Linked DNA regions of Ovis aries. The main gene of each other region encodes a partner of the protein of the gene in region 2 in a complex. Links are inferred from orthologs where the notes say so. Each region holds a gene or a part of one and is shown on either strand. Other genes may lie near its edges.

Region 1 (5,014 bases), on a different chromosome or scaffold from region 2:
ATAAATAACATACATATGTCTGGCTCTTATAGAAAAATATAACTTTAATAAGGAAGCTCAATGAGGGTAGGAGTACTCTGGGGACAATGATAATCGACACACGACGATCTGCTTTTCCTCCGCGAGCAGAGCACTGTAATTGGGAGATGGACAAAGGACCTAAGAACCCAATATCCTCCAGCTTCCAAGTAAGAAAAGGATTGTTGAGTCGCTCAGAAAAAAAATCAAGAATCTTCCTTTTCTTGGAACCTACAGAGAAAGAAAAGACTTGTTATATTTGACCAAAGGAAGAGGTACTAGCAGTGTAAGATGAAAGAAATAATTGAGGAAGGACTTTCATTTATGACCATAGAGGACTAGCTCCCCTAAACAACCCTACGCAAATTCAAGACAATTAAAAATGCTGGGATTGAAACTGTATCTTGCAAATTATGAATTATGTTGATTTCTTAGGAAAACAGAGCACTAGCCATAAAAGAAAAAAGGATAAACTAGACCTCATAAAAATGAAAAACTTCTGGTCATTAAAAAAAAAGAAAAATTTTTAATTTTCTTAAATTAGTTGTTTAAATTAAATTAAACAATTTCTCAGCCTGACTGAGAAATACTCCCCAAAGGCATTTCTAACTATATTTTTAATCCATTGATGAGAAGGCAAGAAAGTAAAGGCAATCTTCACAGTGAGTGAAAGTATACAAAACCAGGAATCTAGACAGGTACATTAAAACTGAAGCCCCTGGTACACTGGTGCCCTTGCTGTTTTGAGAGCCACATGAGTGAACCAGAGACAAGCCTACAATGTCTGAGAGGAGATACTCAGAGTAAGTTTGAAACCTCCAAAGGGCTACACCTGTATAGAAGTGAACAAGAAAAATAATCCAACTCTGCAGAAGAGGAATTTGACAGTCTCACTAGGTAGAGAGAGAAAAAAATTTCCCTCTAGAATTTCTAACCAAAAGCTGGCCTTACATTAGATTCGCAGCACAAATCCATACTACCTATTTGCTACAAAACACATGAAGCTGAGAATTTATTTAAAGTCATTCCAGCTTGGTAGTGCTTCAAGGCACCTGAAGAGGAAACACACATGCTAAGAATATAGTTTTCCAAATTCTAAAAAATCTGAGCTTATATTAAAAAATTATACAACAAAAAAAGCACGATGAGAAAGTCTGCAGGAATAACGGCAGCATCAGATCCACAAAAACTGTGGGTATGAGAATTAGGAGACACAATATAAATATCAGGCTTAATATATTTAAATATATGTAAGAATTACAAATAATATAGGATTAAAGAATCATGAATTATTAAAAATGAGACTTGAAAAATAAGCAGAACTCAAAAAAAAAAATTTTTTTAAGTAACAATAACTGACATAAACTGAAGACAGAATTAGTGAAGCGGAAGAAAGACCAGAAGAATTTACCCAGAAGCAATATAAAGAGAAAATAGATGGAAAATTATGAAAGGGTGAGAGAAATGGAGTAGTGGGTAAAGTCTAATAAGCAACTAATTAGAACTCCAGAATGTGAGAACATAGGTAAAGGCAATATTCAATGAGACATGGCAGATAATTTTCCAAGGTTGACGGAAAAGAAAAAAAAATCAATCTTTACTTTCAGAAAGCCCAGCAAATCCTACACATGATAAACAAAAGAAAGCCACATCCAGATACACTGTAGTGAAACCACAGAACCCCAAAGACAAAGGGGAGTTCTCAAAACTATTCAGAGAATCATGTTCTTTAAAGCACCCATGACTAATTCTCATCGAAGTAAAACTACCTTGAGTACAGTGGAAGATGCAACAGTAACACCCAGATCATCAAGCAACATTAGCTTTCTGTATTTTTTTTCTTTCCTTTTAAATATCTTAAAAGGTTTAATTCACCGAGTATAAAAAGGATAAGAAAAGTGTAATTTTCTAAAATAAAAAACGACCTCAAGTTTCCCTATTACTTCAACTGTACAGAAGAGAGGGATCGGACCAAAGAACACAACTGTTTATTCAGTACAAAAAGTAAGTCACTGGATTTGTTTAGGTCGCAAACAGATTGAGAAAGGGCAGAGAGGAGGAAAAGGATACGCACTTGCAGTTGGTACAGGTGTAGAAGACAGTCTGCCCTTCATCGGCTGATCGCATCTGCCTGGTGTGGTATGCCATTCCCTCGTGCCCACATCGAGAGCAGCGCCTGTCAACCTGGAAAGCAACTGGTGGGATTAATAATCTCCCTTTCCGGTCACAGACATCAGGCTGTCACACTCCCCAGACTCTGATGTTTTAAAGACCCCTCTTCCCTCTTAAAGGACTTCCCACGTGGCACAGTGGTAAAGAATCCGCCTGCCAATGCTGGAGACGCGGGTTCCATCCCTGGCTCGGGAAGATCCCGTGGAGGAGGAAATGGCAATCCGCTCCAGTATTCTTACCTGGAAAATTCCATGGACAGAGGAGCCTGGCAGGCTACAGTCCACGGGGTCACAAAGAGTCAGACACGACTCAGCACAGCACACACCCTTCCCTCTTGGAATTAGGTACAAAACTCTCCAGATCTGTGCAATCGCCCCTCCATTTCTTTCCCACCCTCCTTTGATGGGGCCAGTCCTGGATGTCATTCACTCACCACAGGTCCCTGGAACTCAGGTCCTTCCTCCATCGACAAAGGCATGGCTGTCCCCAGTTTGTTAAACACAACTGAGGTTTTCACAACCTTCCCCTCAAAGTCTGCGCAAACAGTAAGAACTGGTTGTGGAGACAGTAAGGAGTGCTGACACCCATAACTCCCTCTCGGTTAGGACAGGAGGCCTTATATTCTTCCCTTCAGGTTTCGACCCAAGGCCAAAAGTGCCTGATTTCCTGCTTCAGGGTCCCCCTCTTCAATCCAACCGATATTAAGGTCCTCAAGCCACTGACCCTTTCACGCTGGGCCCTCTGCCGGGGTCGCTGCGTACAAGCCCCTTACCTCGCACATTGATGGAGAAGCCACAGCGGGTACAGGCGACCGCATCCTGAGCCCCGGGCAGAGGCAGGACCGAGCCGCAATCTGGACAGAAATCCAGGTCCGACTGAAAGCTGGAGCAGATGCCGGCGAGGTCCATGACGGAGGGTGGTCGAGGACTGGGAAGAAGAGGAGATTGCTAACAAACGAGAGTAGCTCCCTCCCCACTGAAGGGTCATTCCTATTCTGTCCCTGGACCTAAGCATACAGAACCCGAGTCCTTCTCCCACGTATGCCTGTGCCTCTAAGACCAAGGAGCCCACATATCCAGAATTCCAAACCGGGGTCCGGTACTTCGACTTGGGGGTTTGCTTACCTGGGACAGGCGAGAAGAGGAAGCCAACTCCGCGAGCTAGAACGCCGGCTCTACGCCGCTGCGGACTAGCGAGAGCAAGCGGGCTAGAGCGCCCTGTCGTCCGGCCTGTCGATTGGCTGTTACGTCATAATTAATCGCAAACTTGATCCCCGGAGGGAGCGGAACCTTTGAAGGAAGGTTGTAGCGCTACTTTCAGGCTGGATTTGTGATGTTGGATAAGAAAGCAGGTGATTGAAGCTGAGCCTCCGGTTGTTTTCCCCTCACTACCCAGTTCTGGGAACTACAACTTCCCCTGTTCCTGAGTTGGTTCTTTTTTTTTTTTTATTTTTATTTTTTTTCTTTTTGAGTTGGTTCTTTTAAAAAAAACAAAAACCAAAGCGAAACATTCTGGAAGTTACAGTTCTAGCGCTCCTCGGACCTCGCGATGCAAGCAAGGGCGCTCTGCAGAGCACCGCCTGGCTCGAGTGCTGGGCCCTTGGCGACGAAGAATTGATGCTTTTGAACCGTGGTATTGGAGAAGACTCTTGAGAGTTCCTTGGACAGCAAGGACATCAAAGCAGTCAAGCCTAAAGGAAATCAGTCCTGGATATTCACTGGAAGGACTGATGCTGAAGCTGAAACTCCAATACTCTGGCCATCTGATGCGAAGAACTGACTTATTTGAAAAGACCCTGATGCTGGGAAAGATTGAAGGCAGGAGGTGAAGGGGAGGACAGAGGATGAGATGGTTAGATGGCATCACCCACTCGATGGACGTGAGTTTGAGCAAGCTCCGGGAGTTGGTGATGGACAGGGAGGCCTGGCATGCTGCAGTACATGGGGTCGCAAAGAGTCGGACGCGACTGAACTAAACTGGGCCTTTGGAAGGGGTGAGTCGACCTCTTACCGGGCATGAAGTGGAAACGGTGAAGGCGGAGGAGGAATCCTAGTCACTAGGAACGAAAGGAAGCAGGGATGAAGTAGGACACTTTAGGAAGGGGCTCAAGACTTTGGAGGTAGTGGAACAGAAGAGATTGGGACTCCTTCCTCTTTAGATGCCCGTCAGATGAGGGAGGTTAGCATTAGTCAAGGGAGCAGCCTTGTGACGAAGACTGTCGAGGTTTGCTTTCAGTTGCAGACCCCTTTCCACCTTGTCCCCGGCCTCCCATCCAACCAGCTCTACATCATCATTGCATCCATTAGATGGAGAGTTGACATATCCCTGATCTTTTATAAAACATGAGGACAAGTGTCTTAAAAGTTTTGCTGTTTTAATTCATCTGGAACCTACAATCTAAAGTGTAGAATCTTGTCGTCCTGAAGGGACAGCTTCAAGACGAGTTTCCTAGTTCTCTCCCAGTCCATCCACCCCCTCTCAACCTCATAGCTGTGCTAAGCTGTTTATGTATGAAAGTCCCGGAGCCATCACTATTTTCTCCTGTTTGAAAGAGAACAAGCTGTGGTCTCTCCTAGAGAAGTTTTGATCCGCTACTCTCTGAAATAATGGAAACACACAAATTAGTGAGAGGGTTAAAACTCTGAGCAAGCTACTAGAAAGTGACAAGCCCCATAATAATTTGTCTCACAAGGAAAGGTCTGCTGAGCCCATGATGGTAGGCAAGTTTTTATTCTCTCTTCTCTGTGTGTGTCTCCTTTGAAAATAGAAATGAGATTAGTCCAACTTTCCCTTTCAGTATCAGTTCAGTCACTCAGTCCTGTCC
Region 2 (4,738 bases):
AGAAACTGCACCCCGCCCCCCAACTCCTGACTGAAGGCTGGATCGCCCTACCTTCTTTCCACACTAGGGGGCCCCCGGACGTCTGCTGTTCCTAAAAAGGTGAGGGGCTGGGGGCTGGGTCTCCAGTCTCATCCCACCCGAGCCCCCGCACCCCTACCTCGTGCTCTGTGATGTTGATAAGCAGCTCCTGCTGCAGAAACTGCTCCAAGATGTACTTGGGTGCCATGTCAACCAGGGACTGGAAGAGACGTCAACCCTCAAGTGCAGCAGGGGCAGCCGCCCGCCCCTCTGTGGCCCCGAGGCCTGCCCCAACCCAGCTCCTCCTCGTGGGCAGCTAGCACCCTGGAAGTGGAGCAGGGTTTACCTTTGTGGCTCAGAAAGACATCGCGCATCATAAATTGGGAAACCCCACCCAACTCCGCCCAGGCTCTCAGCAGTAATAAGGCCTTCATCTCACATCAAGAAAGGTAAGTACCTGTCAGGATGCTCCCAGGGTGGCTGGGAGCTAGTGTGGCAGCCGGTCCCCGGGCCTGGGGACAGAGGTGCTGGCCAGGCTCCATCCCACCCTGGCGGGGCAGGCTTACCTGCTTGGCAGAGGGCGTCATGCCCTGCTGCACCACAATGAGGGCACGTGTGATGTTCTCCTCCTGCATGCGCTGACAGTACACCTTGATGGTCTTGATGCCCACCTTGGGCTCCTCTGCAGGCAGAGCACAGGCTGATCAGTGCTGCAGGGCCCCTTCCCATCGGGCACCCAGGTTCTAGCCTGGCTCTGCCAAGGCACTGCGGTGCCACTCCCACTCTTGGGCCTCAGCCTCCCCGTGTGCAAAGCAAGAACTGGGCAGCTGGTTCCCAGAATGGGGGAGCTGGCTGCCTCCAGGTCACATGGGAGCTGACAAGTGCCCTGGGTGCCCTGGACCTCAGGGACCTCTTCTGGAAGTGGGGTCTGGGAGTCTGGGCTTGGCCAGGGCTCAGTGGCTCTGAGGTTTGGGAAGCCCTGGATTTGGTTTAGTCTTGGAGTTCATGAGACAAGGGCTGGGGTTCTCAGAGGTAAGCTGAGGTGAGCTGACCCAGAGAGTATGGTCCTGCCAGACACAGACCACCCATCTCCATGCCGTAGCACTGGGGGTCCTCATGGTCTTGGCAGCATGCAGGGCCTGCCACAGAACAGCCGGACCCTAGGAGCCCAGCAGGTCAGCACCTAGGGCAGCCCCAGGGTCTGTGTGCAGTATGTCCGCCCCTTCCAGCTGCTCTCACTTCCCATTCCACTAACCCACTCTGCCCTCAAAGTCCCTCTGTTGGGGTCCTGGCCCTGGAATCTCAGAATGAAACTGTATTTGGAAATGTGATCTTTAGGCCCAGAGAGAATGGATGGGTGATCGAGAAGAGGGAAGCTGGAGAAGGGGTTCCCAGAGCAAGGAGGGCAGGGGACAGAAGGATAAGGGTGGGTGCATGACTCTGGGGCGCACAGCAGGTGGCTGCTGTGAGCTGGCCCTGAGCAGCCCTCACCTGGGAAGAAGACGAACATCTGGTCAGTAGGGTCGTCGTTGTGGGCCACCAGCACCGTGAGGTCCGTGCGCCTTGGCCGCCCTTCACTGGGCTTGTCCCCAAACTGGGCCTTGAACTCCTCCAGAGTCTGGTCCAGCTCGTCCTGGGTCACCAGGTAACCACGGTCATGGCACAGCTGCAGAGAGAAAGGGCAGGTGATCGATCGCACAGTGGAGATAGGACAGCAGCCAGAGCTCCGGTGGCCTCACCCACCGCAGAGGAGACTGGGGAAAGGCCTGGGATGCAAGCGGAGATGTTGAGTCCAGAGTCAGGCCCCAGGGCGTAGGTCTGACAGGTACAGCAGGCTGGGCGGGTGTTGGCTGTGAAACCAGGCAAAAGCCTGAGGCCCAGCAGTTCAAGGTCCTGCTCAGAAACTAGGGCTCTGTGAGCACACAGACTAGGTGAGGACCCAGACAAAGGAAGGTTGGAGCTGCCACCCAGCCCTGCCCACATCCCCCACCCCCCGCCGAGTCTCCATTCAGAGACCTGGGTCTCCTCTCCCGCAGCCCCGACACCATCAGGTAGAAGCGCAGCTGCTCCCGCCCTGTCTTGAGTAGCTCTGCCAAGTGTTGAAGAGGCTGGGTCATAGCCCAGCCTTAGCTCCAGCACAATTCCCAGGAGGCTGGGTGCTCTTGATCAAGGCCCCAAGTCTTTGTGGCATCACACTGGACCCCTCTCACATGGTGGCTTAAAGCATGTGGTACACAGAAAAAGCTGGTGTGACTGCTGTGACACTGAGACTGAGTTGGTGGGCAAGGCATCTAAGTAACCACCAGACAGCAGTCAGACCAGCCCACCAGGGTTCCTTCCACCGTCAAGAACCCGGGATTCTGCGTTATGCACTTACGGTGGTGCTGATAAGACAGGCTGGGAGCTGGGACCCTTTGCGGCAGCGCCTGCACTTGGACAAACATCTTCTCCAGCAACAGAATACCCAGAAACCATGCGGGACTAAAAATAACCGTGCAATTGCCCAGCTCGAGCAAATGATAGACAACAACAGAAAGTCAAAACCTCCACTTCTGAGGTGCCGGAGCAAAAGCTGGGTGCCAGGCCTGATCCCTGCACACAGCACCACCCAGAGGGTAGGCAGACCACCCGAATCATCACTCTGGCATGACCCCTGGACCCGCGCCCACCCTCATCCCATTATCCCATTCAAGACGACCTAAGAAGGGCGCCTGTTGCTTGTTTTCGCTCCCTCCTGCTGCAGCATAAGCTCCAACAAAGCCTTGCCTGACCTTCTAGTCTGGCCTGTTATCAATTCTTACTGATTAAGAACTTCAAGGATCAGGGGCTGTAACACCACAACCCTCCAGAAACACAAATACAAGGCGGCCCAGCGTCTCCCGCCTTCCCTCTCTCCAGCTCGAGCGAGATCCTGACCCCCTTCTCTGGGGGCTCTGGGGCTCGACTCCTCCGCTCCAGCCGCGCCGCCGCGGGTGAAGAGGCTCGTCCTCATCAACGGGCCCTAGCACCCGCCGTTCACGCCTCGGCCGCCACGTGCCCAGTTCGTCTGGCGCAGCCAGGCACGCCCTCACCGCGTTCTCCAAGGAGGGCTGCCTCCGCGCGGCTCACCTGCATGATGGTCTTGCGGATCTTCCACAGCCGGTATGTCTCCTCCTCATCGTCCATGATTCCCGCCGCTCTCACACACTGCGCCTGCGACCAGCACGACCAGGGCCCACAGTGCCTACTCCGAGTCCTGATCAGGCCCCCAACACGTCGTCTACCCGTGCAGGGCTGTCGCAGGCGAACGCCTGAATACAGCGACCTTCGGGAGCGGCACTGCCAAGGGCAGCCCTAGCCTTCCTAAAGCGGCGGTTGGTTGCGCGAGCAGCTTTCAAACAGCACCGCCCACCCGCCCCTCGGAAGTTCTCGCGATGCTTTGACGGCACGGCTTCTCGGGAGTGGTGGTTTTTGCTCAACGTCAGTCTGGACAGTGTTTAGAATCTGGAGAGATTGAGGAAGTGTGAGCGGAGCCTCGGTTTTCCGTTTTGTATAATGAAAAGAATAAAGTGTCCCCCATTTTAGAGGATCTAAAGAGATGCTCGTACTTGGGAGGAGCTTGGTATAGTTCCTGGTGCTTACAAAATGCAGCTGAGCCCCAGCCCAGCCCCTGCCTGGATACCCCAAGAGTGCACAACCTCTGCATCGGCCCTTCCCCTCCGAGTTCGTTCAGGAGGTTTGTTCAGGCCTGCTCAGCCCAGCTTACTTGTGTCAGTAACTTCTCATTCAGTAATATATTAATTCAATGATTCAGTATTTAATGAGGAGCCAAAGAGACGGGGAACAAAACAGACCAAGCATCCTTACATGCCAGGGAGAGACAGGACAGAAACAGCGGACATAAGTAAATGATACAGCGTGTTAGAAGGAGACAGTGCTGTGGAAGAAAAAATAGAGAAGTCTCAAATGTGGTCATGGAAGGTTCCAACAAAAATCCAAAGGGTGAGAGGGTAGAAGCCCTGGGGATGTCGAGGAAAGTGTATCAGGTAGAGGGTACAGCATGTGCAAAGGCCCTGAGGCCTAGCATGTTGGCAGCAAGGAGGCCTGTGGGTCAGAGGGTCAGGTGGGGCAGATCTTGGGAGCCCTTGCTGGTTGGGTTTGAGAAGTTTGTGCTTGCAGCCATTTTCAGCATCTCCACAGGGCAGAAACAGGGAGACCAAGGAGTGGGCTAGGGAGGACCGTCCCGGCCAGAGATAGATGAGGCCTCAAGTGAAGGATGAGCTGTGGGCAGGTCTAGGGTGTCCAGAAGGCAGCGCTCATAGGATCTGTAGGTGGACAGGATGTGGAAAGACACAGAGACAAGCAGAGGAGGAAGAACAGACCTCGGTGGGGAGGCATAGAAGGCAGATCTGGAGCAGATCTTGGATATGGTGAGCTTGGGACTCCTGGGGGACCCTACGGGGAGCATCCAGGGGACAGTAGGGCACAAGCCTGGAACTCAGGATGAGCTTGGAGTGGAGGCTGATGTGGATGTTGTGGGCGCACAGTGCAGACTGGAGTTGAGAGGCTGATGAGGTCACAGAGCGCATCAGAAGTCAGGCCTGAGCCCTGAAGCTGGGAGGAGGGGAGGAAACGGCAGAAGGCAAAGAGATGTGGTTACCTGGGCTCCAGTGCTGGCTGTGCGACCTGGGCACATTACTTAACCTCTCTGTGCCTCAATGTCCCCCTCCTCCTTTGTAGA

Evidence for each region.
Region 1: POLR2E (region 2) and POLR1H share a complex: the UniProt entries of both Homo sapiens proteins name them as parts of the pol I pre-initiation complex. The link is inferred for Ovis aries from reciprocal best matches to the Homo sapiens genes POLR2E and POLR1H.

Annotation. Positions count from the first base shown.
Region 1 is NC_056073.1:27,950,649-27,955,662, forward strand, and holds POLR1H (DNA-directed RNA polymerase I subunit RPA12), read right to left. Parts: upstream 3,375-5,014; 5' UTR 3,315-3,374; intron 3,118-3,314; 5' UTR 3,099-3,117; coding exon 2,963-3,098; intron 2,725-2,962; coding exon 2,624-2,724; intron 2,203-2,623; coding exon 2,041-2,202; 3' UTR 250-2,040; coding exon of another isoform or gene 225-249; 3' UTR 25-224; downstream 1-24. UniProt on the Homo sapiens protein: Core component of RNA polymerase I (Pol I), a DNA-dependent RNA polymerase which synthesizes ribosomal RNA precursors using the four ribonucleoside triphosphates as substrates. Can mediate Pol I proofreading of the nascent RNA transcript.
Region 2 is NC_056058.1:41,257,257-41,261,994, forward strand, and holds the start of POLR2E (DNA-directed RNA polymerases I, II, and III subunit RPABC1), read right to left. Parts: upstream 3,249-4,738; 5' UTR 3,184-3,248; coding exon 3,127-3,183; intron 1,685-3,126; coding exon 1,510-1,684; intron 701-1,509; coding exon 585-700; intron 239-584; coding exon 158-238; intron 1-157. UniProt on the Homo sapiens protein: DNA-dependent RNA polymerase catalyzes the transcription of DNA into RNA using the four ribonucleoside triphosphates as substrates.